Linked DNA regions of Rattus norvegicus. The protein of the gene in region 1 binds, or shares a complex with, the protein of each later gene. Links are inferred from orthologs where the notes say so. Each region holds a gene or a part of one and is shown in the gene's direction. Other genes may lie near its edges.

The links.
Region 2: the proteins of Flna (region 1) and Itga2b are in contact, whole or in part, in an NMR structure (PDB 7SFT), measured with the Homo sapiens proteins. The link is inferred for Rattus norvegicus from reciprocal best matches to the Homo sapiens genes FLNA and ITGA2B. Residues at the interface, in NP_001104026.1 of Homo sapiens: Thr2263, Gly2267, Ala2268, Gly2269, Gly2270, Leu2271, Ile2273, Ala2274, Val2275, Glu2276, Gly2277, Ser2279, Ile2283, Phe2285, Asp2287, Arg2288, Lys2289, Gly2291, Cys2293, Val2295; in NP_000410.2 of Homo sapiens: Trp1019, Lys1020, Val1021, Gly1022, Phe1023, Phe1024, Lys1025, Arg1026, Asn1027, Arg1028, Pro1029, Pro1030.
Region 3: the proteins of Flna (region 1) and Itgb3 are in contact, whole or in part, in an NMR structure (PDB 2MTP), measured with the Homo sapiens proteins. The link is inferred for Rattus norvegicus from reciprocal best matches to the Homo sapiens genes FLNA and ITGB3. Residues at the interface, in NP_001104026.1 of Homo sapiens: Gly2236, Arg2264, Ala2268, Gly2269, Gly2270, Leu2271, Ala2272, Ile2273, Ala2274, Val2275, Glu2276, Gly2277, Pro2278, Ser2279, Lys2280, Ala2281, Ile2283, Phe2285, Asp2287, Gly2291; in NP_000203.2 of Homo sapiens: Lys742, Ile745, Thr746, Pro771, Leu772, Tyr773, Lys774, Glu775, Ala776, Thr777, Ser778, Thr779, Ile783, Tyr785, Arg786, Gly787, Thr788.
Region 4: the proteins of Flna (region 1) and Itgb2 are in contact, whole or in part, in a crystal structure (PDB 2JF1), measured with the Homo sapiens proteins. The link is inferred for Rattus norvegicus from reciprocal best matches to the Homo sapiens genes FLNA and ITGB2. Residues at the interface, in NP_001104026.1 of Homo sapiens: Val2241, Thr2263, Ala2266, Gly2267, Ala2268, Gly2269, Gly2270, Leu2271, Ala2272, Ile2273, Ala2274, Val2275, Glu2276, Gly2277, Pro2278, Ser2279, Lys2280, Ala2281, Ile2283, Phe2285, Phe2311; in NP_000202.3 of Homo sapiens: Leu753, Phe754, Lys755, Ser756, Ala757, Thr758, Thr759, Thr760, Val761, Met762, Asn763.
Region 5: the proteins of Flna (region 1) and Itgb7 are in contact, whole or in part, in a crystal structure (PDB 2BRQ), measured with the Homo sapiens proteins. The link is inferred for Rattus norvegicus from reciprocal best matches to the Homo sapiens genes FLNA and ITGB7. Residues at the interface, in NP_001104026.1 of Homo sapiens: Thr2263, Gly2267, Ala2268, Gly2269, Gly2270, Leu2271, Ala2272, Ile2273, Ala2274, Val2275, Glu2276, Gly2277, Pro2278, Ser2279, Lys2280, Ala2281, Ile2283, Phe2285, Phe2311; in NP_000880.1 of Homo sapiens: Pro776, Leu777, Tyr778, Lys779, Ser780, Ala781, Ile782, Thr783, Thr784, Thr785, Ile786, Asn787, Pro788.
Region 6: the proteins of Flna (region 1) and Cftr are in contact, whole or in part, in a crystal structure (PDB 3ISW), measured with the Homo sapiens proteins. The link is inferred for Rattus norvegicus from reciprocal best matches to the Homo sapiens genes FLNA and CFTR. Residues at the interface, in NP_001104026.1 of Homo sapiens: Thr2263, Gly2267, Ala2268, Gly2269, Gly2270, Leu2271, Ala2272, Ile2273, Ala2274, Val2275, Glu2276, Gly2277, Pro2278, Ser2279, Lys2280, Ala2281, Ile2283, Ser2284, Phe2285, Asp2287, Phe2311; in NP_000483.3 of Homo sapiens: Ser10, Val11, Val12, Ser13, Lys14, Leu15, Phe16, Phe17, Ser18, Trp19, Thr20.
Region 7: the proteins of Flna (region 1) and Fblim1 are in contact, whole or in part, in a crystal structure (PDB 4P3W), measured with the Homo sapiens proteins. The link is inferred for Rattus norvegicus from reciprocal best matches to the Homo sapiens genes FLNA and FBLIM1. Residues at the interface, in NP_001104026.1 of Homo sapiens: Met2207, Gly2208, Thr2263, Arg2264, Gly2267, Ala2268, Gly2269, Gly2270, Leu2271, Ala2272, Ile2273, Ala2274, Val2275, Glu2276, Gly2277, Pro2278, Ser2279, Lys2280, Ala2281, Ile2283, Phe2285, Cys2293, Glu2306, Phe2311; in NP_001337080.1 of Homo sapiens: Lys7, Arg8, Val9, Ala10, Ser11, Ser12, Val13, Phe14, Ile15, Thr16, Leu17, Ala18, Pro19, Pro20.

What each region holds. Positions count from the first base shown.
Region 1 is NC_086039.1:157,168,832-157,172,437, reverse strand, and holds part of Flna (filamin-A), read left to right. Parts: coding exon 1-103; intron 104-626; coding exon 627-1,224; intron 1,225-1,312; coding exon 1,313-1,486; intron 1,487-1,569; coding exon 1,570-1,732; intron 1,733-1,812; coding exon 1,813-1,973; intron 1,974-2,061; coding exon 2,062-2,232; intron 2,233-2,547; coding exon 2,548-2,671; intron 2,672-2,754; coding exon 2,755-2,911; intron 2,912-3,507; coding exon 3,508-3,606. UniProt on the Homo sapiens protein: Promotes orthogonal branching of actin filaments and links actin filaments to membrane glycoproteins. Anchors various transmembrane proteins to the actin cytoskeleton and serves as a scaffold for a wide range of cytoplasmic signaling proteins.
Region 2 is NC_086028.1:87,922,937-87,927,098, reverse strand, and holds the start of Itga2b (integrin alpha-IIb precursor), read left to right. Parts: upstream 1-1,265; 5' UTR 1,266-1,297; coding exon 1,298-1,485; intron 1,486-3,438; coding exon 3,439-3,560; intron 3,561-3,648; coding exon 3,649-3,746; intron 3,747-3,849; coding exon 3,850-4,012; intron 4,013-4,162. UniProt on the Homo sapiens protein: Integrin alpha-IIb/beta-3 is a receptor for fibronectin, fibrinogen, plasminogen, prothrombin, thrombospondin and vitronectin. It recognizes the sequence R-G-D in a wide array of ligands.
Region 3 is NC_086028.1:90,061,858-90,065,138, forward strand, and holds the end of Itgb3 (integrin beta-3 precursor), read left to right. Parts: intron 1-647; coding exon 648-814; intron 815-2,675; coding exon 2,676-2,741; 3' UTR 2,742-2,744; downstream 2,745-3,281. UniProt on the Homo sapiens protein: Integrin alpha-V/beta-3 (ITGAV:ITGB3) is a receptor for cytotactin, fibronectin, laminin, matrix metalloproteinase-2, osteopontin, osteomodulin, prothrombin, thrombospondin, vitronectin and von Willebrand factor.
Region 4 is NC_086038.1:11,060,462-11,063,404, reverse strand, and holds the end of Itgb2 (integrin beta-2 precursor), read left to right. Parts: intron 1-1,207; coding exon 1,208-1,374; intron 1,375-1,732; coding exon 1,733-1,795; 3' UTR 1,796-2,396; downstream 2,397-2,943.
Region 5 is NC_086025.1:135,236,186-135,240,577, reverse strand, and holds the start of Itgb7 (integrin beta-7 precursor), read left to right. Parts: upstream 1-1,506; coding exon 1,507-1,707; intron 1,708-3,958; coding exon 3,959-4,160; intron 4,161-4,245; coding exon 4,246-4,392. UniProt on the Homo sapiens protein: Integrin ITGA4/ITGB7 (alpha-4/beta-7) (Peyer patches-specific homing receptor LPAM-1) is an adhesion molecule that mediates lymphocyte migration and homing to gut-associated lymphoid tissue (GALT).
Region 6 is NC_086022.1:47,590,121-47,593,726, forward strand, and holds part of Cftr (cystic fibrosis transmembrane conductance regulator), read left to right. Parts: intron 1-1,514; coding exon 1,515-1,761; intron 1,762-3,399; coding exon 3,400-3,492; intron 3,493-3,606. UniProt on the Homo sapiens protein: Epithelial ion channel that plays an important role in the regulation of epithelial ion and water transport and fluid homeostasis. Mediates the transport of chloride ions across the cell membrane.
Region 7 is NC_086023.1:159,176,269-159,179,874, reverse strand, and holds part of Fblim1 (heterogeneous nuclear ribonucleoprotein L), read left to right. Parts: intron 1-1,736; coding exon 1,737-1,906; intron 1,907-3,606. UniProt on the Homo sapiens protein: Serves as an anchoring site for cell-ECM adhesion proteins and filamin-containing actin filaments. Is implicated in cell shape modulation (spreading) and motility.

The sequences.
Region 1 (3,606 bases):
CCGTGAAGAGGGGCCTTATGAGGTGGAAGTGACCTATGATGGTGTGCCTGTACCTGGCAGTCCCTTTCCAGTAGAAGCTGTGGCTCCTACCAAACCCAGCAAGGTAATTAGTTTTGGGAGGCTATAAGGGGAGGACCCATTTTTCTTCTCTTCTCTGTTCCCTTCCCTTCCCTTCTCTTCTCCTCTCCTGTCCTCTCCTCTCCTCCCCTCTTCTCGTCTTTCCTCCCTTCCTTCCCCTCCCCTCCCCTCCCCTGTCCTCTCCTCTGTGTCTCTGTCTGTCTCTGTGTCTCTGTCTCTGTCTCTGTCTCTCTCTCTTTTAGCCCTGGCTGTCTTGGAACTCACTCTATAAACCTGGTGGACCTCAAAATCACAGAGATCCATGTGCTTCTACTGGGTGGAATTAAAGGCTTGCACCGTCATGACTAGCCTATTTTCCTTTCTTAGGGTCCCCTATCTTCTCCAGATTTTTCCTGAACCTTTGTCATTTCTATTTTTATGATTGATGAGTGGATGACCTATTAGGCAGCCTATTCCTGTCATGTCTCTGGGTAAGGAAGAAACCTAGGGCAAAAGAAGATATGAAAGGTTGGGCTGATAGTTGCTTTCTTATTTCTTCCTTCCCTCAGGTGAAGGCATTTGGACCAGGGCTGCAGGGGGGCAATGCAGGCTCCCCTGCCCGCTTCACCATTGATACAAAGGGAGCTGGCACTGGTGGCCTGGGCCTGACAGTGGAAGGCCCCTGTGAAGCACAGCTTGAGTGCCTGGACAATGGGGACGGTACATGCTCTGTGTCTTATGTGCCCACTGAGCCTGGGGACTACAACATCAACATCCTTTTTGCTGACACCCACATTCCTGGATCCCCATTCAAGGCCCATGTGGTTCCTTGTTTTGATGCATCCAAGGTGAAGTGCTCAGGCCCTGGGCTGGAGCGGGCTACTGCTGGTGAGGTAGGGCAGTTCCAAGTAGACTGCTCAAGTGCTGGCAGTGCCGAGTTGACGATTGAGATCTGCTCTGAGGCAGGACTGCCAGCTGAAGTATACATTCAGGACCATGGTGATGGCACACACACCATTACCTATATTCCTCTTTGTCCTGGGGCTTACACTGTTACCATCAAGTATGGTGGCCAGCCTGTGCCCAACTTCCCCAGCAAGCTACAGGTGGAGCCTGCTGTAGATACCTCAGGCGTACAGTGCTATGGGCCTGGGATTGAAGGTCAAGGTAAGGAGACCTGCTGTAGGGGGTGGGTAGCAGTTACAGGGTGCAAAGAGTCCTACAGCCACAGCCCCCTCGCTATGGCCTTTTCCAGGTGTCTTCCGAGAGGCAACCACTGAGTTCAGTGTAGATGCCCGGGCTCTTACACAGACTGGAGGGCCACATGTCAAGGCCCGTGTGGCCAACCCCTCAGGCAATCTGACAGATACCTATGTGCAAGACTGTGGTGATGGCACATACAAAGTGGAATATACTCCATATGAGGAAGGTATGAATGTGCTGGGGGTACCTTAGGAAGGGCAGGGAATAAGTGGAAAAGCCTAGTTTTTCCTGACCTGTCCTGCCCTCCAGGAGTACACTCCGTGGATGTGACTTATGATGGCAGCCCTGTACCCAGCAGCCCCTTCCAGGTGCCTGTAACAGAGGGCTGTGACCCCTCCCGGGTGCGTGTCCATGGGCCAGGCATCCAAAGTGGTACCACCAACAAACCCAACAAGTTCACAGTAGAGACTAGGTGAGTGAGCCACTGAAGATGCAGGGGCAGGCAATGGGCTTGGGAACCCTAAGTAATGACAGACTGTCTGTTTGGACCAGGGGAGCTGGCACAGGTGGCCTGGGCTTGGCTGTTGAGGGTCCCTCAGAGGCCAAGATGTCTTGTATGGATAATAAAGATGGCAGCTGCTCGGTAGAATACATCCCCTATGAAGCTGGAACCTATAGCCTTAACGTCACTTATGGTGGTCACCAAGTGCCAGGTGAGAAGATGATGACAAGGATGAAACTAGGACTCTGCCATATTCACAGTGTCTTACATAGCTATCATCCTTCTGTATCAATCCCCAGGTAGCCCCTTCAAGGTTCCTGTACATGATGTGACAGATGCATCTAAAGTCAAGTGTTCTGGACCTGGCTTAAGCCCAGGCATGGTCCGTGCCAACCTCCCTCAGTCCTTTCAGGTAGACACAAGCAAAGCCGGAGTTGCCCCACTGCAGGTCAAAGTACAGGGGCCCAAAGGTGAGACTTCACATACCTGGTAACAGGGAGTTATAGAGGCATATTTATTTTAGGCCCAGTAGCATGTGGGTTAGCACTGATAGTAGAAGGGTTTCAGGTAACCACAAAATCAGGCAGAACCCTAGAAAAGGTATAGTAGACAGGACTTGACCACTGACTAGATATAGCACGGGGGAAAGCCTAAGGAATTCCTAGAATTGGGTGTTAAAAACTTAAGGTCTAGTCTTTGGGGCCAGCCCTAGTCCTTCAGGGAGATGGGGGTGGGAATGGGTACAAAGAGCCAACCTAAGGGTCTGTCTTTGGGACCGGGGCTAGGCCTGGTGGAGCCAGTGGATGTAGTGGACAATGCTGATGGTACTCAGACTGTCAACTATGTGCCCAGCCGAGAAGGGTCCTATAGCATTTCTGTGCTGTATGGTGAAGAAGAAGTGCCACGGAGGTAAGAAGCACATTCACTTGCTTGTTGGGGGCAGACTACATACTTAAGCTTTTCCGATGGTTCATAACCCCTTAATCTCACAGCCCCTTCAAGGTCAAGGTGCTGCCCACGCATGATGCCAGTAAGGTGAAGGCCAGTGGACCTGGACTCAACACCACTGGTGTGCCTGCCAGCCTGCCTGTGGAGTTCACCATTGATGCCAAGGATGCTGGGGAGGGTCTGTTGGCTGTCCAGATTACGGTGAGCTTCCTAGGGAAGAGAGGAAAGGAACCAGGTCTGGGCAGCTGGGATGTAGGACTACAGATAGGCAGGCAGCTCAGTTTTGCTAACTAGTCTGTCTGGAGCTGTGCTCTAAGGACAGGGCCTCTGCTTCTGGTCTGTTAATGTAACTACATTAGGATGTGTACAATTTTCTTCAAGTTGAAAGAAACAAGCTTTCCTAAACATACATTCATTGCTATTAGGTATGGTATTAAAACCTGTAGCCCTTCAGATTCCCTACATGCAATATTCTCACAGAACAGGTATAATGTTGCAACACTTGAGATCTTTCATATAAGCTCATAGTGCCCTAGGATAGGCCCAGGGCTGAGCCTGGGCACCAAACTGGTCATATCTCTTGTCTTGTCAGAGAATGCTGGATTTTGGGGGGCTTCAGTTCTGCTCTCTGCCACAGGCAGGCAGCCACTGGGGCCATGAGGGATGAAGGGCCCAGAAGCTGTATCCCTGTTATATATCGCTGTTATACTAGTACTTGACGTATTTGTGAAAGGCCTGAGATAGTCCAGGTCTTGCTAGGCTTGGACCAACTTCCTTGCCTGCTCTTTGCCTCATAGGACCCTGAAGGCAAGCCCAAGAAGACACACATCCAAGATAATCATGATGGCACATACACAGTGGCCTATGTGCCAGATGTGACAGGCCGGTACACAATC
Region 2 (4,162 bases), on another chromosome or scaffold:
AAGCCCTGAACAAATCCAAGGAGCTTTTTGCTTAATGAGGGGCAACATCTTCAGCTGTGTGAGAGGAAGGGAGGAGTCGGGAGTTGTTCAAAGTTGGTAGGGCGGGAAAGTGGGGTAAGGCAGTGGTTAATCAGAAATAAGGGTGGAGCTTGGGGGGCATGGCTGGGTGATAGAGCACTTGTCCTGCGTTGATGAGGCTATCCCAGCACTGCAGAAAAGGAGAAAAAAAAATACAGACTATATGTGGCTGTATTCCTACATCCCTTTGCTTTGGGGCAAAAGGCGTGCAAGGCCAACAGGGCATGGAGCTCTGTTCCCCTTCCCCCCCCCCCCATATAGAAGGGGATTCTGTGGCCCTCACCCCTTTGTGGCCCTGAGAATCTGACCCCTCTCCCTTTGCTCCTTCCACCCTTGAGGAAGACCAGTCAACCTTTCAGCAGCAACTCATGCCAGGCTGTGAGCTAGGCCCCGGGACAACAGAAAGGACCCTTGCTCTCAAAGGATTCAGGTACTCAATTCAGTAAAAAAGTGTCATCAGGTACTGTGCCTGTGTGTGTGTATATGCCAAGGACTGAGGACTCAGGAGCTTTCTCCTAGACAATCTCAGAACGATGTCATCTCATCCCACTTAGGCCACGGCCATTCACTGCCAATATTGAAGGTGCCAGTGTAAACGCACCAAGACCTGGTTAAGATGGAGATGTGAGGAAACCAATGGCCAAGTGGGGCTGCCTGAGGCTGCCAAAGGCTTGCAGAGGAGGAAGCCGATAAATGTCCTACTCAAAATGATGACAACCTCGGGTTTTATCAGGGGAGAGCAGCTTCCTTTACCCCTTCCTCTCCCTCTAGCCAAGTCACAGTGTTCAGTGGTCAGCTACATGGGGGAGACAAGGACAGTACAACCGTGGGCCGTGGTGAAGTAAGACAGAGCTGTGAATTCATGTTTACACTTTCCCGGGCGGAAAGAGATGGTGGCCTGACTTTCACAGTGACAGAGGAGGAGAAAGGGGATTTCTGGGCCTGTGGCTGAGAAACTGAAACTACAGGACTTGGAGAGGAGCTTTTCTGGAGAGAAGGGAGAAGCAATGACTTCCGGTCATCAGCACCTATCCCCGGGACAGACCCTCCCTTTCCTAGTAGTCCTAGAGACCGTGTGGTCCAGAGGCTATTCCCCTCTGCCATGCCTGCTGCTAAGCCATGAGCTCCAGTCTGATAAGCCGAAACTTCCGGTGGTGGGGACTTGAGGGAAGGGGAAGAGCTTGACCATTCCTGCTTAGGACATTTGGGGAGAAGGAAGATGGCCAGAGCTTCATGTGCGTGGAATACCCTGTGGCTTCTGCAGTGGACACCACTGTTCCTGGGACCAAGTGCTGCTCCTCCTGCCTGGGCCTTGAACCTGGACTCTGTGAAGTTCTCTGTCTATACAGGCCCCAATGGCAGCCACTTTGGCTTCTCAGTGGACTTTCATAAGGACAGCCATGGGAGGTGAGCACTAAAGGAGAGAGGTCTGCCCCTTAGCAGTGCTCCTGTGGCTTCTTAGCGCCTAGTTGAGCAAGGTTGACTCTAGGGTCTGTTTGAGTGGTGCTCCTGTCAGGAATGCTGGGGGCGGGGGCGCAGGTTCCAGGGAGGGCACTGTGGAGGGATAGCAACAGGGAGCACTGAGCAAACAAAGGTAAAAATGTCTTTTTCTTTTCCCCCAAGCGTCAATGATGTGACTCGCTTTACCTCCCTCCCCTCACTCTAAATTGACTGACTGGCAAAGCTACAAGTGCCTACCGGGTACACCTTGCTTTCCTCCATTCCTCACCTCATCTCCTTCCAAATTACAGATGTTTGAAAAGAAGTAATAAATTACTAACAGTCAGTATGGATCAGGCTTTGAGGTCAAACTGCTAAGATTAGAGTCCTGGCTTATCCACGTAGCTGTGTTTATCCTGAGTGACTTATTGAAATGGACACTGGAATGCCCAGGTCTGGGGAACAGTAATGACCATTCTCAAAGGCAGCAGCAAGAAATTATTTCTTCTGCCTGAGAGAGCCACTTCATCAAAAATCAGGTTCCCCTTCCCAAGATGACTTGCATCCAGAGACTCTCCATGAGGGGGAAGGAACCTAGGGTTGCCTCAGTTCTGATGATTATAAAGGGTGCTTCTCTAGCTGACCGTGGTAGCACATGCTAGTAAACCCAGTACTTGGAAGCTGAGGCAGGAGAACTACCACAAGTTAAATAGCCAGGGCCACATAACAAGATTCTGTCGGAATGAATAAATAGAACTCCTGAGCATGGTGCCATGCCAAACACCTTTCATCTCCTTTAATGGAAACAGAGGTAGGCAGTGCCCTGTGAGTTCGAGGTCAGCCTGCTAGTCTAAATAGTGAGTTCCAGGACAGCCAGAGCTACACACACACACACACACACACACACACACACACACACACACACAAAGAGAGAGAGAGAGAGAGAGAGAGAGAGAGAGAGAGAGAGAGAGAGAGCGCCTGTCTCAAAACAAATAAACAAAGCCAACCAAAGAAAATCCTCCTGGCTTCAGAGCTCCTGAGTGTTTCAATACAACTCCTGTCGTTTCTTCCTCTGTCTCCTGTTTCTTCCCTGAAGGTCTGATCACGCGGACACAATTTTTTTTTTCCGGAGCTGGGGACCGAACCCAGGGCCTTGCGCTTGCTAGGCAAGCGCTCTACCGCTGAGCTAAATCCCCAACCCCACGGGGACACAATTTAATAAGCATCCTGTGTGTTTATTAACATGCACACTCTTACAAAAGCATGTTGCTGGGGCATACTAAATACCTCTCATCCGTTTATTGTATTAACTCTTCCAACAGCATAATTGGTTGCTATTACCTCCGTTTTACCTATGGCAGACCTGGTTTAAACAGAGACTGCTAGGATCCTCAACCCTGTCAGCACCACACATCCCAGTTCGCTCTCACCAACCTCCGCCCTTCCAACCAGTTCTCACTAGGTCCTCTCTAGAAGTTTGACAGGCAGAAATTTTGTCTGGTTCTTGTTGGGAGGGAGTAGGGGGCAGGAAATCAGTGTACAAAGTATAAGAGGTCTTTTCAATAAGGATTATTAAAACGTTCCCTTCCAAACCGAACCAACTGGTTTAGTCTCAAGTTAATTTCCTAAGAGTCCACTTTCAGCTGAAGTGAAGAGGTCGGCCTCAATAGGTTATCTGTGAGGAAAGATGGTCCACTTTTTCCTATGCCACACCTCCTTCTAGGTACTGCTGGGGTAGTGGGCACTGGGCAGGATAGAAATGCTATAATCGGGGCTGGGGATTTAGCTCAGTGGTTAGAGTGCTTACCTAGGAAGCGCAAGGCCCTGGGTTCGGTCCCCAGCTCCGAAAAAAAGAACCAAAAAAAAAAAAAAAAAAAAAAAAAGAAATGCTATAATCTACTCACCCAGCTTTCCTAACAGCGTGTCCATCGTGGTGGGCGCCCCCAGGGCCCTAAACGCAAATCAAGAGGAGACTGGAGGTGTGTTCCTGTGCCCCTGGAAGGCCAATAACGGCACATGTACCTCGTTGCTTTTCGACCTCAGTGAGTCTCAACCATGGAGGGGAAAGGGGGAGTCAGGTGGAAATGGATGGCCGGGCTCCTGAGCGCCACCTTTTCTTGTGCCCTCCAGGGGATGAGACGCGAAAACTAAGCTTGCAAACTTTCCAAACCTTCAAGACCGGGCAAGGACTTGGGGCATCGGTCCTCAGCTGGAATGACGTCATTGTGGTGGGCACTGTGGACAGGTCAAAGGGAGCAAGTCCAGGGCAGGGACACGTTGGGGGAAGCCCGAATAAGCTCCCTTCCCCACTCTCCTGTGGATCTGCTCTAGGCCTGTGCCCCCTGGCAGCACTGGAATGTCCTAGAAAAGTACGATGAGGCAGAGAAGACTCCGGTAGGAGGCTGCTTCGTGGCTGAGCTCCAAAGCGGGGGCCGCGCAGAATACTCGCCCTGTCGCTCCAACACCATGAGCTCCGTTTACTCACAGGGTTTTAGTAAGCGCTGGTCCGCCATTGGCTCCGCCCACTAGTCGCTGCAAGCCCCGCCCACCACCAAACCTCGCGTCCTGGGAGCCACGCCCTCCTCTATACCACGCCCCCTCGGCCCCTCCTCTATGCTCTCCCCGCCCCGCATAGTTCCGCCTG
Region 3 (3,281 bases), on another chromosome or scaffold:
TCCCACGGCTAGTTGGTGGCCGCTCTACAGGAATGTGAGTTCCAGGATTAGCAGGTGTAGGGGTGTGTGTGTGTGTGTGTGTGTGTGTGTGTGTGTGCCTGTGTCTGTGTCTGTGTCTGTGTCTGTGTCTGTGTTTGTAATGCTAGGGATAGAGCCCAAGGCTTCATGGAAAATAGCAAGGGTTTTTCCACCAGGCTTAGTTACTCCCCAAATCAATGTTTTCTTTAAAATATTTTGTTTTTGAGATTCATGCGTGTGAGCAACTTGCCTCCCAGTATGTGTGCATAGCATATGCATGACTGGGTGCCGGTGGAGGTTAGAAGAGGGTGTCAGGTGATCTGGGGCTATAGATGGGTCTGAGCCACCATGCGGGGGCAATAGCAACGTAAGCTCTTAGCTTTGGAGCCATCCCTCCGCTAAATTTTAAAATGTATGCTTGGGTGAAGCCACACCACATGGGTTAGGTTCAGCCCGAGAACCCCGATTTGGACCACCTAGGACAGATTATTGCCATCCTAAAGATTATGCCTTTAAAAAGTGGTGAACCTGTTCTTGAGGGTCCCATCTCCAGTCCCGTATCCCTTTGTTAACGATCTCATTCCTGGACATTTCCGGTGACTCCTGCCCTCTCCGTCTCTGTCTCCCAGAGTGTCCTAAGGGTCCTGATATCCTGGTGGTCCTGCTGTCAGTGATGGGGGCGATTCTGCTCATTGGCCTTGCTACTCTGCTCATCTGGAAGCTACTCATCACCATTCATGACCGGAAGGAATTTGCTAAATTTGAGGAAGAACGAGCCAGAGCCAAATGGGACACAGTGAGTGGCTGTGATGTGCTTTGCGTTCTTCTGAGTCTTTGGTTCAAGAACCCAAGATTGAGGCAGGAGATCCTCAGTGGTGGTTCAGCCTCAACAGTTGTTCCCCAGTTACCCTTCTGCTCTGGAAACTCGGAAATGTTCTGACTGTTCTTTTGTCCGTCTGAGTCACGAGACCTCCTAGTCCTCTACGTTACAGCAACCACATGTCAGGATCGCTGCATGCACATAGGATATTGTGTCAAAGGGAGAATAACTGTCCAGTAGGGGACAAGATAAATCTGTATGAGGGACATATAACACACCGTGCTGTAGCAACGAAGCCCGAAGTTTAAACATGATTGGAAAGTGACATAGTAGCTAGCATCTTCTGAGGGCTCTGTGGAACTATTCCAAATTCTTCTGACACTTTATCTCTGTAACAGCCCTTATCCTTCCCATTCTATAGTTAAGGAAACCGAGGGCAGAGAAGCAAAGTAGCCTGCCTGACAAAGAGAGGGATGAGGAAATATAGGAATTACTTTGGGGATCAACCTCTTACATGTAGTGGCCTTGCATCCGTTTACCTCCCTTTTCTCATTCCCTGCAAATGAGAGGTGGTGGCTTCCAAACCTGGCTCCACCGGACACCCCAGAATGCAGTTTAACCCGATATTATCCAATCAAGCGAGCGTCTAAACAACAAGAACCCCAACGCATGTGTGCTTAGGCCACGGCATGTTTTCAGAGGTCAGGGGACAGCCTGCAGGAGTCAGTTCTCGCCCACCTCCCATGTGGGTTCTGAGGATCAGACTCGGCTGCGTCACGCCTGGCAGCAGCTGCCTTTCCCCGACTCTGCCAGCTTGACAGCCCATGGACCAGCGTTCTTTTGAGAACCATTTGTCTATTTAATTTTAGTCTATTCTCTTCCTGTTCATTTTATTTTTCCTGGACCCACCAAGTGACCAGGTAACTCTCCAATTAGGACCAGGGTTAGTCTGAAACTTTGTTTCTGGCAGACTTTGTATCCACTGAACCCAAGAAACAGAGATGTTTCTGTTAGGACCCTGTAGCTCAGTGGTTTTCAACCTTCCTAATGCTGTAACCCTTTAATACAGTTCCTCATGCTACGGTGCTCCCAACCATAAAACTATTTTACCACTACTTCATAACTGCAATTATGTAATTATTCATAAATCATAATGTAAATAACTAATAGGCAGGATACCTGAGATATGACTCCACTGGGATCACAGCGCCCAGGTTGACAATGCTGATGTACAGCACTCGAGCCTCTGAGGGACTTTTCTAAATTTCTTGACATGGAGGGAATGTTCTAGATTTCTTGACGACCATTAAGGAGGATCCATTACTTTCTGTTAGGAAGCGGTTTGAGAAACCTGGTGAAGGCACACAGCAGGTCTGTGTGTAGCAACTGGTTCAGGGGATGAGATAAAGACAAGAATTATTTCGGCAAAAGCTGGGCTCTGTGTTCTGACGCCACCTACTCCATTTCCCCTTCTGGCTCATGTCACTTGGCACTGCCCCCTTGATGAAGGGAAAGAAAAAGTAGGGACAGCAGAGGAAATGGGAGAGACAGGGCAAAATGGCACGCTACTCTGGGACTGCCAAAATGTCCTCCCCCTCGAAGTGATGGGCTGAATTAAAAACCTTTAGAAACAGCAGTAACACACCATCTCTCTCCTCTCCTTCTTTCCTATCTGTTCCCATCCTAAGAGTAGATGTGTAAGTGCAAGCGGTAGCTGGGTTCTGACAGTTCACTCTGAAGAAGGATGTCCGGGATAATATTCTCAGATGATGTTTAACTGTTTGGGGTAAGAAAGTGTATGGAGCTGACCATGGATTCTCCTCTGTTCCCTCTGCAGGCAAACAACCCATTGTATAAAGAGGCCACCTCCACCTTCACCAATATCACCTACCGGGGGACTTAATGAGAAGAGGTCATTCTTAGACCATCGTCAGATGATGCCAGAGCTGTGGGAGTCTCTGCCATTGTGTTTACAGAGGACTTTTTTTAAATGTGTGTTTGGGATTTGGGGTGTGGGTTGGGACGGGCTGGAAGAATGTCAGTCAGTGGGGATGTATCTCTGTGTGTACATGTGTATGTGTTGAGTGTGGGGAACTGTGTAATTTAAAACTTGCAATGTGTCTCAGGCAGAGCCCCACAGCCTTTGTCCTCAGGATCCCTCCCCACAGGATTCTTCCTGCTTAGCTTGAGGGGACTCAAGATGCCAGGCAGGTGCTTGTCACCTCTGAGAAGCCAGCTTCCCTTGTCAGCCCATTCTCCACCCCCAGAAAAGAAGGGCAGGGCTGAGGTCCCCCAACCCCCACCATTCCAGAGGAAGTGATGCCAAGTCTTGGTTCTTTATGGACTTTGTAAGTTTCTGGTTCTTGGATCTGACTGTCAACAGCTATGGTAGAAAGTGCTTGGCGTTGAAGCTCAGTTGTATCATCTGTGCCTCTACCCGGTT
Region 4 (2,943 bases), on another chromosome or scaffold:
CCCTGTCGTTAGCCAAGTGGACGAATCATGTCTCCAAGCAGTAGACGCGGGTAAAACTGCTGTTTGGTCTAGGACTTAACAGAGAGGAAATGAGCAGGCAGGGTGGGCTGGAGGGTGGCAGAGAGTCTCCCTGTGCATGGAACTCAGAGAAGTGGCACTGAGAAAAACAGGTGATGGGTCCTGGGGTCCCCAACGGATGAAGTAAGAAGTCAGATGCCAAAGGGCTCGGGAATGCGTTGAATAACGAGGACCAAAGAGGGACGGCATGATGCATTTGGGCAAAAGATAGGACAGAATGCCTTATACAGACTTAGGCAAGCAGACTTAGAATTTCAGCCTCCCACCGCATCCAGACTCAGATTGCTGAGGGGAACTGCTGAGGAGCCACTCAGGACCACCGGAAGCTCAGGTTAGCAGCCTACCAGGCTCCTACAGGACTAAGACCTGCAGCCTCCCTGAGCCTGTCTTCAAGTCAGGAACCCCTAAAAGACAGATAGGATGCAGACTTTGCCCTTGGCATTTGGGACTGCTGGTTCCAGAGCAAGGGCTCCTCCTCTCCACCACGACAAACATGTTGGTTTTGCGCCACCTTGGCCAAATTTATTTAACCTCTGCGAAGGCAACACGCCTCCCTGAAAAGGCCACGATGATATGAGAGATCCTATGCCATGTTGTTGGGGACCCACCTGGCAGGGAGAGGTCCACCCTGACTGTTAGTACCCCTGTCTCACAGTCAGGGGTCTGCTGTGTAGCCCTTCCAGAACCCATACCCAGGAGAGGCCAGCCCAGCCCTGGACCTTGGGACAGTGTCCTGATCGTCACATGGCTGACCACAGGTCTCTGGTTCCTGCCACTGGTTACTACGGAATCCCTTTGCCTGGACGTACCAGCTCAGACATTACGGCCAATTCTCATACTGCACAATGAGATAGTCGGGGGTGCCTCAAACACAGCCCTAGTTTGGGAACACCAGTAGGTGGTGACCAGGGATGCTGTTATTTCAACAAAGCTTTCCTCGGGTTGGCCACTGACCTGGCCAAACAGCCTTCATGTTTCCTTTGGAAGCATCTCTGGTAGGGGTGTAGCTAGATTCTCTCATCTCCTCGAGAGTTGTGGCAAAGGGTGATTTTCCCCCGTGGCAGGAATAGCATGGCACACTGGCTACTGTAGGGAGGGGCTGACCCTTGGTTGTGTGCCTCTTCCTTAGAGTGTGTGAAAGGCCCCAACGTGGCTGCCATCATAGGGGGCACTGTGGCCGGCGTTGTACTGATTGGTGTCCTCCTCCTGGTCATCTGGAAGGCTCTTACCCACCTGACTGACCTCAATGAATACAGACGCTTTGAGAAGGAGAAACTCAAGTCCCAGTGGAACAACGTGAGTGGCCTTTCTTTGAGAACCCCCAGAGCACACAGGGGCTTCCTCTTCTCTTTGACCTCTCACTGGTAGGGATGGGTACACTGTATCCTAGGGGTGCTTGGGAAACTCACACAGAGTGCCTTCCCCAACTCTGTTACTTCTCACAGTGGGACTTGGGCCATCCTGGAGAGCTGGCACAGGCCTCACCCCAGCTTAGCCTCCAGGGTCCCAGAGTGTTCTGTGCTGCAGGTTTAGCCTTGAGGCTTAGAGCCTAGGAAGGCTTCCTGTCCTGGTTGGCTCCTTAGAGTGACTTCTACTGCTCTGGTGACTTCTTGGAGTCCCTGCACTGACAAGAGCATGTTTGATTCCACTTTAGGACAACCCCCTCTTCAAGAGCGCCACGACAACGGTCATGAACCCTAAGTTTGCTGAGAGCTAGAGAAGGAGTCAGAGGAGACCCCTCCAGACCATGCCTCCTCCCCTCTGCAAATAGAATGTAGCTTACAGCTAGCCCCAGTGCTGCCAAGGATCCAAAAGCCTACTTTGTTTCTTTCCGCCATTATATCAAGGCTGCCAGGGTTTCCACAGACTCATCTTCCGACCTATACAATCTTGCCACAGAGCCTGCAGATTGTTCCGGAGTCCCAAGAGGTTCCACACACGTTTTCGTGCATAAAGGGAAGACAGGGGTCTCAGTAAAGGTGGCCCCAGCTTATTTATATTTAAACTTGTTAGCGTATAAAACTACTATTATATTGTTAACATCCTGTCCGTTGTATTATATGTGAGTGTAAAACTATATCCCACATATATCAGAATCATGTGTGTAAAAATAATAAAGCTTCCATTCAGGGCTGCAGAGATGGCTCAGTGGTTAAGAGCACTGACTGCTCTTCCAGAGGTCCTGAGTTCAATTCCCAGCATCCACATGGTGGCTCACAACCATCTGTAATGGGATCTGATGCCCTTGTCTGGTGTGGCTGAAGATAGCAACAGTGTACTCACATACATAAAATAAATAAAGCCTTTTAATAAAAAAATTAATAAAGCTTCCATTCGTGCTGTCCATGGAAGGTAAGCTTTGTGGAGTCATTTGGGGAAAGGTGGCTGAGGTCAAGTGCTTTGTCCCCACTTCCTGGTTGTCCATTCACATCCTGAGGGTTCTGGTGGGACCTGGGCCATGGAATGGAAAACTCAGTTCTCTTTTTCCCTGTCCTTGGGCCTGTATGTTTGGAGCCCTCCGAGACTCAGTGCTAAATCCTGTGTGGCTGTCCAACAAGGCTGTCAGATGACAAAAATGGCACCCTCCTCTCTCCTGCTCCCAGTATCAGTCAGGTTCAGCACAGAAGGATGGGGTGGTAGCCAGAACCCAAAGCAGAAGGTGGGTAGGAAGGTCCAGGTAACCTAGAAATTACAGCGTTTATGGTGTTCCTGGGTCTCTGAGAATTATGACCCAGCATACTAGGTAGGCTTTTGGGTTTTTTTTTTTTTTTTTCGGAGCTGGGGACCGAACCCAGGGCCTTGCGCTTCCTAGGCAAGCGCTCTACCACTGAGCTAAATCCCCAACCCCGGCTTTTGGTTTTTTTT
Region 5 (4,392 bases), on another chromosome or scaffold:
TTTCCATGACAGCTTACAACCATCTATAACTTCTGCTCCAGGGATCGGATGCTCTCTTCTGCCCTCCAAGGGTACCAGCCACACACGTGGTGCACAGACACAATAATAAAATGAAATATAAATCCCAACATCAAAGGGGGATTTCTTCTTAGGCATCCTTCCTCTGGCTACTGCGTTCCCTGTGTGAAGCCACCTTTCCCTGAGCACACACGTCCCCATCTCTACTCCTCGCCTCTCTTCCGCTCTTCTAGACTTGAAGGCTGCCGAATAAAGTTTACTCAATTCCTTCACTTAACAGATATGGAGACTGAGGCGGGGGAAGTGGAGAGGCAGGCAGTGCTAGGTGTGCTACGGAACCATTGAGGGATCTAGGTGGGATAGAATCTGGTGCTGCCTGAACTGCGGCTTGGAAAAGATTGGGGTGCAGATGTTTCTGTTCCAGACTGTCCCACCCTTTTTCCTTCCTGCCTTCTTTTTGTTTTTGAGAGAGATCTCATTGTATAACCATAACCCTGCCTTGCCTGTAGCTCACTGCGAACACCAGGCTGGCCTCAAAAATCACAGAGATCTATCTGTCTCTGCCTCCCACATGTACCACTGGATTTAAAAAAAAGTATGTGGGGTTTGGGGATTTAGCTCAATGGTAGAGTGCTTGCCTAGCAAGCACAAGGCCCTGGGTTCGGTCCTCAGTTCCAACAACAACAACAACAACAAAAAGTATGCATATGCAGGTGTACCTGTGTGGATATGTGCATATGGATTCAGATGCCCATGGAGAGTGAGTTACAGGCAGTGGTGAGATGCCTGAAGCAGGCTGGGAATAGAATTCAGGTTTTCCAGAAAACAGTGTGTGGTTTTCCACCCCCTTAGATTTTATTGATTTTTATTTTGTGAATATGAGTGCTTCTTACTGTATGTACATCTATGTACCACATGCATGACTTGGAGGCTGAAGAGTATGTTGGATCCTCTGGAACTAGAGATACAGAAAGTTGTGAGCTGGCATACCATGTGGGTGCTGCGAATGGAATCCAGGATGGAAGGGCTTTTTTTTTTTTTTAAGATTTTATTATTTTATGTATGTGAATACACTGTGGCTGTCTTCATGCACACCAGAAGAGGGCATCGGATCCCATTACAGATGGTTGTGAGCCACCATGTGATTGCTGGGAATTGAACTCAGGCCCTCTGGAAGAGCAGCCAGTGCTCTTAACCACTGAGCCATCTCCACAGCTCACAGACCCTTCCTTAAGCTACTCTGTCCACCCTGGGTACCTGAAGCCTATACAAAGGCTGATAGGTTTCTGAGACCCCTCCCTTGCTCTGGCATCTGTCCCTTCCCACCATTTTGGAAAAGCTGCTGAATCCATAGAGGGATGTGAAACTGAGGAGAGATCCCGAGCTGGGGTAAGGTGTGGCTTGGCAACCACAAGCTAAGTTTAGAGGACCAGAGCTTGGGCCCTCCCTGAGGACCCATGTGTCTGTCTTTATATTCCATTACAGGCCATGGTGGATTCATCAACTGTTCTCATTTTTCTGCTCGTTCTGGGCGGAGGTCAGAGTGAGTTAGATACCAAGATTACGTCCTCAGGGGAGACCACAGAATGGGAGGATCCTGACCTGTCTCCACAGGGATCCTGCCAGCCAGCTCCTTCCTGCCAGAAGTGTATACTCTCACACCCCAGCTGTGCATGGTGCAAGCAACTGGTAAACATGGGTCTGCGGCCCCTGAACACGTGGGGTGCGTGTTGGGTGGGCATATTTGTGCTTTTTCTGGGTATACTCTTCAGTCTCACGTGTGGCTGAATTTGGACAGACAGGATTCCGACGTGTGACTCATATGCACATAAGTTTCTGTGCATACGTGGACGGAACCCGTGACCCATGAGCTCAGAGGAAGATGTCCTTGTGGGAGTTCATGCTTCTGCATGTGAGAAAGTGGCCTGGCCAGTTAAATTCTGTGACAATATGGAACAGAAAAATATCTCTTATGAATTGAGAGGCTTGGAATTCAAGAGCAAAATACTGGCCCGTTTGGTTCTCTCTGGACGATTTTTCCTGGCTTAGAGATGGGCCACCTTCTTGTTATATTATTACATGGGAATTGGGGTTTGGGGAGAGGGTCCCTTTGCTGTGGATTCTTTTAAAATGATATTTATTTTTATGTGAACGTGTGTTAGTATGTGGATGTGCACCCCATGTCTGCAGGCATCTGTCAAGGACAAAAAAAGGGCATTGGATCCCTTAGAAGTGGAGTTACCATGTAAACCACCATTCGGGTGCTGGGAACTGAACTTGTGTTTCTCTGGAAGAGCAGTGAGTGAGGTTAACCACTGAGCCACCTCTCCAGCCCTTCCTGTCGCATCTGAAGAGGGCACATCCCATCGTGAGGGTCTCACCCTTAGGACTTCACCTAAACCCAACCATTGCCCAAAGGCCTCACTTCACATACCATCACAACGAGAGTTAAACATTAAACCCAGGTGGGGAATTGTGGCACATGCCTTTTTTTTTTTTTTTCTTCTTTTTGGAGCTGGGGACCGAACCCAGGGCCTTGCGCTTCCTAGGCAAGCGCTCTACCACTGAGCTAAATCCCCAACCCCGGCACATGCCTTTAATTCAAGCACTTGGGTGGCAGAGGAAGCAGGTCTCTGTGAGTCCGAAGCCAGCCTGGTCTACAACACAGATTCCAGGACAGACAGAGCTACATATTGAGGTTCTGTCTCAGACAGTAGATAGATGGATAGATGATAGATAGATAGATAGATAGATAGATAGATAGATAGATGGATGGACAGACAGATGGAGGGACAGACAGACAGAGGGACAGACAGATAACCACAGAGAATTTGGAAGAAGAATCCAGTCCATAGCAGAATGTACATGATGGGGCTTCTGAGTCTGTCTCAGGTATGAATGTGTGGATCACTATTTCCCAGCATGCAACTTGGAGAAGGAAGTAAATGAAGGCTTCCAAAAGCCTGTGGACTTAGGTGAGATTGGTGGGAGGAGGCCAGTGGGAAGCCCTGGGGTACCTGAGGGACAAAGGATGCTGCGGAGTGTGTAATCCTTGCTGGTCAAAAAAATGCTGTTCTTGATGGATGCCTTAAAGAGGAAGTGCTCCAAGAAGAGCTTCAGCAGCAGTCTCTCACAGGAAGATGGAGACTTAGATCAGTGCAGACTTGGTAAGTAAGATATAGGGCACACTGACAGGCAGCCATATTTACAACTGCCTAAAGGGACCACGAAACCATTGATAGTGAAACTGGAAGATAGACTCTGTAGGCAGGGAGGTAAAGGTTCTAGACAGTGGCTAGAGAGATAAGACTCTGGGGACAGCCTCTGATCTGTGTCTACCTCTTCCGTTCCCTAGGGGCTGGCACCAATGCCCACCGAGAAGCCACCTAACCATTTCCTTCCCCTGTGGCTTGTCAGTCAGTGTAGGGTACCAGACGTAGTGAGTGTGTGTGTGTGTGTGTGTGTGTGTGTGTGTGTACGCGCGCGCGTGTGCGCGGACGTGTCTGTCTTTATCATCCTCCTTCCCAGAAACTGGTGTGATTGACCGACCCCCTTCCTATTTTAATCTGGTCATGCAGGGGAAGTTGGACTACGGGGTGGTTTTTCTGTATCCTTGAGGTCCCAGAGATCTCAACCGGAAGTCTGTGGCTCTAGTGAGAAAGGATAGGTGGGAGGCTGTGGGGAAAGGGGAATTGAGATCAGGAAAAGGGCGAGGGACTGCTACAGGAAGTTGGGTGCTGATGAAGAAGAAAGGACTATAGGTTTTCCAAGTAGCTGTGGAGAACGTGAACTGTGAAAATAATCAGGGCTCTGGAAAGCTGGTTGAGAACAGAGCGGGATGTGTAGGTGATTGCAGGCGGTGGGGTTTGCAGGATGGTGTTGGTAGTCGGGTTGAGAACCGTGGGAGCTGGGGTTCAGTGTGCCTCCTCTTGGTGTACAGAACTTCACTGCCTCGGGGGAGGCAGAGGCGAGGCGCTGCGCGCGGCGTGAGGAGCTACTGGCCCGCGGGTGCCCCGAGCAGGAGCTGGAGGAGCCGAGAGGCCACCAGGAGGTGCTGCAGGACAGGCCACTCAGCCAGGGAGACCGCGGCGAGGGGGCCACCCAGCTGGCCCCGCAGCGGATCCGCGTCACGTTGCGACCAGGTGAGTCTTGGGCGGCACAGGGTGCAAGTCTGTGCTGGCCTCGAATGCATTGGGCTGCAGAATCGAGCCTCCCTTTCTCTATCAGGGGAGCCCCAGAAATTCCGGGTCCGCTTCCTCCGAGCTGCGGGATATCCCGTGGACCTGTACTACCTTATGGACCTGAGCTATTCAATGAAGGACGACTTGGAACGTGTGCGACAGCTCGGGCAAGCCCTGCTGCTCCGGCTGCGGG
Region 6 (3,606 bases), on another chromosome or scaffold:
TGTAAACAATTCTCTCCTTAGCCTCATGAATATATGTTTTATCTCTAGAAGAAAAGGGATACACATTGCCCTTTTACATCTTCTGCTATGCTGTCATCTATGCTTAACTACATCTCTACAAGGGAAGTATTAAGTTTTCTTTAGTCATGGGATCACATTTAATTAGGGGGAAAAATGGCTTCCTTTATACATAGGTAAGACAGGCAGGACCTGAATAATAGTCCACTTCCAGGACAAATTTATTGAAAGACAAAACACTACAATTCGTTAGGCTGATCACAATATAGGTTATACACATGACCTCTATCAGTGAGCTCAATAGTGCATTGTTTTCTTTGAGGACTTAAAAAATACATGGTTTTAGTACTACTACTTGACAGTAACTCTTACTTCTCTGGATTAGAGGTATGTGGCAACATAGCTTCTGTACGTCCAGTGCCTCCCTGCAGCAGGCTGTAGATCAGTTAGTTGTTCCTCCTTTCAGACAGAGCCTTCAGTTTGTGTTCAACATTGGTCTTTGCCCACACAAGAACTGGTTGTTGTTACAAGTGATCCCAAGTGTGGCGTAAAGTTTTATGGCTCCTGGAACAGTAGTAGGGTTGAGTGAGGGCATTATTGCTCTCCATCTTCCGTTTGTCACCGTCTTCTGTGATCCTTGCTTTTTGCCCACTAGAGCATTTAACCTCTTCCTATATGTGTTAAAAAAGTAAACACCTCACAGTTGGAGTTTGGACTAGAGCAGACTAGAAGATTGCAACTCAGGTGAGGTTTGACTGCAGATAATTACACTGCAATGAAAGGGAACAGGAGGGAGTTGCTACTCCCTGCTCTTTGAAGAACACCTGCAACTGAATCATTGGCCTCTGACTACAGAGTAGCTTCTGGGAAGCTAGTGCAGCATCTCACCTTCAGTAGTTGTGACTGGGAAGAGAATACCCAGGAACATGTTTCTCAGGTGCTCTGTGTCTGTGTTAACACCTGAGAACCTCTCCCCTTTATATATATATATATATATATATATATATATATATATATATATATATATATATATATATATATATATATATATATATATATAATCAATGCTATTTAAAGCCAAGCTAGAATCTCAAATAAGCTAAGAATCTGATGGATAACTACAAAATTGTCATTTTTGTTCATAAAGCTTGTAACATTGTTTTTCTTTTCACATATCAGTTCAAATGTTAATAATGAAGTTACTAAAGATATAAAAATAATATACAATTAAATCTATTTAGATAATACAATTTAAATTAATTTTCATTATAATTAAGAATTTAATTATAATAGTTATTGAACTTCTCAATGGTTTTGTGTTATCAAGTATTCTGTGTAAATACATGGTCTATTCATTAACAGTCATGTAAGCTAATTAAGGCCAAGAGAGAAGTTTTATAACTTGCCCAAACTTTAGACTGTATATTCAGATTTTATATTCTAAGACATCTGATAATTGAAAGAAAGTAATGTGTTACATCTTCTGTTTTCCACAGGGAGGAACTGAAAATGACCCGGAGGTCAGCCTATATGAGGTTCTTCACTAGCTCTGCCTTCTTCTTTTCAGGGTTTTTTGTAGTCTTTTTATCTGTGCTTCCCTACACAGTCATCAATGGAATCGTCCTCCGAAAAATATTCACAACCATTTCATTCTGCATTGTCCTGCGTATGTCAGTCACACGGCAATTCCCCACTGCTGTACAGATATGGTATGATTCTTTGGGAATGATAAGAAAAATACAGGTAACTTCCATGATGATATACTTACATAATTTTGGAAACATTTTAGAATTTGTATAATTGGAAAATTTCTCTAAAATGAATTTTTTGATTTTTTGATTTGTTAATGGATTAGATTTCCTCTTTTCATTTACAGTGAAAATCTAATGAAATAAAATCCTAGGAGATTTTGAGGGTCAAATGAAATAATTGTTTCTATAATCTAGAAAAATTCCATCCAAGAAATCTGCGATAAATCATTCCTAGGCAGCTTGTAAATATCCAAAAACATTGAAAATGAACTTCAGCAGGAAATTGAAAAATGTTCCAACTAACCCTGGAATGCCTGCCTTATAGGCCACTGTACTTTCTCATGAGGCATTGTTATGTTCCAAGAACTTCAGCTCCCAGCATGCCAGGAAGTTACCTGATCCCTGGGCAGGTGGGGCTTACAGGCTTATTTGGGGCTTTACATAAAAAGTAGTTTCTTCATAGCAAATTGAATCAACTTCTGAGATAAAATGTCTTATTATCCTTTAAAATATCTGTTTAAATATTCAATGTAGAAAGTAAATCATTATGATGAGTAAAATGTAGGGTGGAGGGTGGGCCACTTTTTATATGGTTCTCCAGTTGTTTACCTCATGCTGATGTAATCTTAACTTTTATATCTGTTGTATTTGGGCTTTGAAACTTTCGAATTAGTTAATAGTGATTAGAAGTAGAGGTATATCATTTGTACTTGTGTGCATAGGCATCCATGAATATACACATACATGTGTTGAGTGTCTTCTGGAGATTTGACATTATGTAGTAATTTGGGTTTCCACAGTTACAGCAACTGCCCTCTAGAGTGTCTGCCCTGCCCAGGTGGTCAAATCTTTTTCAGCCTTTTCTATTCAACATTTCATCCCCAAGGTTAAGTGAACTTGATTTGTGTAACTAGAGAGCAGTTACTGAAACTTAGAATCAAAGTGGCCCTGTGATGAATTCTATTTCTCTGATGACATCATCGTAATTGGGTGGAGGGATGAAAGTGGTAAGAAAAATGAGAAACATCTGAAAAAAAGAAGAAAATGAGACAAACCAATAAAGGAGGGGGAGGGGACAAGGAAGAAAGACAAGAGGGCAGTGATGACCAGTGAAGACTTCTAGGTGCACAGATTGAAGTTTTATGCTGTTCACCTTTCCTAAGAACTATGTGGTTTGAGTTTGCTGATGGAGGCCTTCCTCAGAGAGCTCAGAAGTCCTTCTAGAAGTCCTTATACTTCCCTTTATAGAGAAAGGCAATGACTGTGATGTTGCTTGTAAAGAGAGTGAAGAAAAAATTTTGTATCAGCCTTGAACTGAGACATGAATAATTGTCAGGGTTTCATTAGGAATTCATGTTCCATACAGCAGTGTAAGAAAGAAGCAATTGTGCAGTGATATCAAATATATAAAACTAATTTCATAAACTAATTTATTTAATGAATATGTTTTGTCTATGATGAATTCTACTGCTTGTCACTTTAAGACAATCGTAAGTTAATAATTAATAAACAACTTCTAACTTGCTACAATCCATACAAGGCACTGTAATGTTAGAATGTAAAATGCTATAACAATACATTTTTTGCTACTATGATTCTATAATTGAGAGGTTTGGTTTTTATTGACTAGGATTTCCTACAGACTCAAGAATATAAAGTGCTGGAGTATAACTTAATGTTCACAGGCCTAGTCATGGAGAATGTAACAGCATTTTGGGAGGAGGTGAGAATTCCTAAATATTGTGGATTTTAAAATATGTAAACAATTGAGTCTTTTCCTTTTCATGTAACTAAATTTCTAATCAATAAAAAATTAAGACTACAAAGATACTATATC
Region 7 (3,606 bases), on another chromosome or scaffold:
GAAAGTCTGTCTAGTTAATACTTTTAAGAAACAAAGAACCAAACTATCTGCAGCTGGCAAAATCACATCTCTGCTAGAGCTCGAGGCAAATCATAGTCAGCTCCTTTGGTCAGTCAAAGCATACCTGAAGGCAAAATGAAAGCACATTCCCATAATATTTCTATATTTTTCGAAGAAACTAAAACCCCCGAATTGTCACTACAGTACATTTTTGCCACTCACAATTTTTTGGTTTTGTTTTGTTATTTGAGACAGAGTTTCTCTGTATTTGGCCCAGCTGTCCTGGAACTAACTCAATAGGCCAGTCTGTCCACCTGCCTCTGCCTCCGAAGTGCTGAGATTAAATGTGTGAGCCACCACTTGCTTGATTTTTTTTTTGGGGGGGGGGGGGGTGTGAGGTACAATCTTACAGTGTAGCCCAGGCTAGCTGTCTTCCTGCATCAGCCTTCTGAGTGCTAGGATTACTGGTCAGAGCCGCCACACCCAGCGTCAGACTCTTAGGGTTTTTGTTGTTGTTTTGTTTTATTTTTTTAAATGTTTATTTTAGCCGGCTATGGTGGTGCATACCTGGCACTCAAGAGACAAAGGCAGGATCTCTGATTTTGAGACCATCCTGGTCTCCAGAGCAATTTTGTTGGTGGTGGTGGTTTGGGTTTGATTTTTCCAGACAGGGTTTCTTGTATAGCCCTGGCTGTCCTATAGACCAGGCTGATCTTGAACTCAGAGATTCGCCTGCCTCTGTCTCCCAAACGCTGAGATTAAAGGTGTGTGTGTGTGTGTGTGTGTGTGTGTGTGTGACCATTGCCCGACTAAGCCCAGCTATTTTTATTATTTTTAATTGTGTGTCTAAGTGGGTGTGTGCCCGTTATCCTCAGTGTCCAGAGGGCATAGGATCCCTGGACTTTCAGGTAGTTGTGAGCTGACTGATCAGGGTAGGGGGAATTGAACTCAGGTCCTCTGCAAGGCAGTATGTGTTCTTAAGCAATGAGATGTTTCTTCAGCTCCCCTCTAAGCATTCTTGTGACTTCAGTTTTTACATAAAGATCTTGACAACTCAGGATCATCTGGGTGTTGGCATGTATCACCTGGTCCCCTGCACTCTCTCGAGACGATACCTCAAAGCCAACTCTGCTTTCTTTTCCACTCTCTCTGTCTCTGTCTCTCTTGTCTCTCTCTGTTTCTCTCTCTCTCTCTCTCTGTTTCTCTTTCTCCCTCTCTCTGTCTCTTTGTCTTTCTCTGTCTCTGTCTCTCTTGTCTCTGTTTCTTTCTCTGTCTCTGTCTCTCTGTCTTTCTCTGTCTCTTGTCTCTCTCTCCTCTCTCTCTCTCTCTCTCTCTCTCTCTCTCTCTCTCTCTCTCCACACCACCCCCATCCCCATCTTGCTCTGTAGACCAGGCTGGCCTGAGATATCACCAGCTGTGCATAAAGGCTGGCAGATTACCTCTAAGTTTGAGGCCAGCCTGGTCTAACTAGTGAGTTCCAGGACACCCAAGGCTGACACCCTGCTCTGAAAATAACAAAAAGGTGTGTTTCCTGGTGCCTGCCCCAATACCATCTTTGATTTTAGTTTCCCAAAGGCCGTTCACCTGATGCCGATCGGGATAAATAAACCCTCTTCTGTTATCAATTGAGGGAGCCTTTGAGGCTGGGCCCTGGACACACTAGGGCATCATATTCAGGGTGGTGATTGGGTACTGCCTTCCTGGGCTGCTGATAACCTGTGTCTCCCCTACCCCAGATGTCTGTGGTTTCTGTCACAAGCCCGTGTCCCCTCGAGAGCTGGCTGTCGAGGCCATGAAGAGGCAGTACCATGCCCAGTGCTTCACCTGTCGTACCTGCCGCCGCCAGTTGGCTGGACAGAGATTCTACCAGAAAGATGGACGTCCCCTGTGCGAACCTTGCTACCAGGTACTCCCCTGCATGTGGCCCCCAGGTTGCACCCACTGAGAGTGTAGCATTGGATTCCTTACGGGCCTCCTAAGAGACTGGACACTGTGAACCCATTTCACAGTCGAGGAAGCTGAGACTCTGAAAGGAGTAAAATCAACCAAGCAGGATTAGGTTCCTGTGGCTGCTATAATGTATGCGTCCACTTCCTTTTTTTTCTTTTTTTCTTTTTTTCGGAGCTAGGGACCGAACCCAGGGCCTTGCGCTTGCTAGGCAAGTGCTCTACCACTGAGCTAAATCCCCAACCCCATGCGTCCACTTCCACAGCAACAGCAGCGACAAAAAGATATGTCTGGTTGAGAGGTTTCAGTTCGTAGTAAGATGGCCTTGCCAGTTTGAGCCTCTGGTGAGGCCCTGCATCGTGGCGTGGGCTTCTGGGAGGACAAAATGGCTCCCTCGTGACCAGAAAACAACATAGAGGAAGGGACAGTTCCAAACCGATAACGTGGACCATCATTAGGTCCCGCCTCCTAAGGGCTCCACCCACCTCCCAATACCGCCCCCTAGAGGCCAGGCCTCATGGGCGGATGGAGAGCATTCAAGACAACTGAACCAGTTTGGTGGCTTCAAACAGTTCACATTTCTTTTTCATAGTTATGGGCGCTATCAGCTCAAAAATCAATTCCCTTAATCAAGTCAAGAGATCCTCTTCTCGATCTTCCGGCTCTAGAGGAGGCATTTGCTTCCCTTTTTAGTTTTGTTTGTTTGGTTTGGTGTTTTTGTTTTTTAAAAGATTTATTTATTATATATAAGTACACTGTAACTGTCTTCAGACAAACCAGAAGAGGGAATCGAATCCCATTATAGATGGTTGTGAGCCACCGTGCGTTTGCTGGGATTTGAACTCAGGACCTCTGGAAGAGCAGTCAGTGCTCTTAACCTCTGAGCCATCTCTCCAGCCCTTGGTTTGGTGTTTTGTTTTTTGTTTGGGGAATTGTTTTGTTTCATTTTGGTTTTGGTTTTTGGTTTTTTAAAGGTTTCTCTGTGTAAAAACCCTAGCTGTCCTGGAATTCTCTTTGTAGACCAGGCTGGCCTGGAACTCAAAGAGATCCACCTGCCTCTACCTCCCGGGTGCTGGGATTAGAGGCGAGTGCCACCACGCCAGGCCTCTTTTGGGGGGTTTTGAGACTAAAACAGGGGGGAGGGTGATCTTGAACTCCTGACCTTCTCCCCCACACTTCTGAGTAATGAGCCTGCTATGATGGTGTCCATGTATTCCCAGCTTTCAGAAAGCTGAGGCAGGAGGATGAAGAGTTTAAGGATCCTGGGTTATAGAGGCAGACCCTGCCTCAAAAAAACTAAGCAAAGAATTTAGATACCATTCATCAGAAGTAGTGCTGAACATGCAAGGATTTAAGTGGGCGGGTATGATATATGATAGCATATGCCTGAAATCTGAACACTTGTGGGTGGAGGCAGGAGATTCAGGAGTTCAAAGTCATACTTAACTCACTGTCTCAAAACCAGCCCCCAAAGTGTGTGTGTGTGTGTGTGTGTGTGTGTGTGTGTGTGTGTGTGTGTGAAAATTTTGTTAAAATAGTCCTCAGGCTGAGCACATACTTCAGTGACCGGGTGCTTACCTGGCACACAAAAGGCCTTGATTTCAGTCCTTAGTACTCAGGTACTGAAGGAGGGAGGAAGGGAGGAAAGAGAAAGATCAA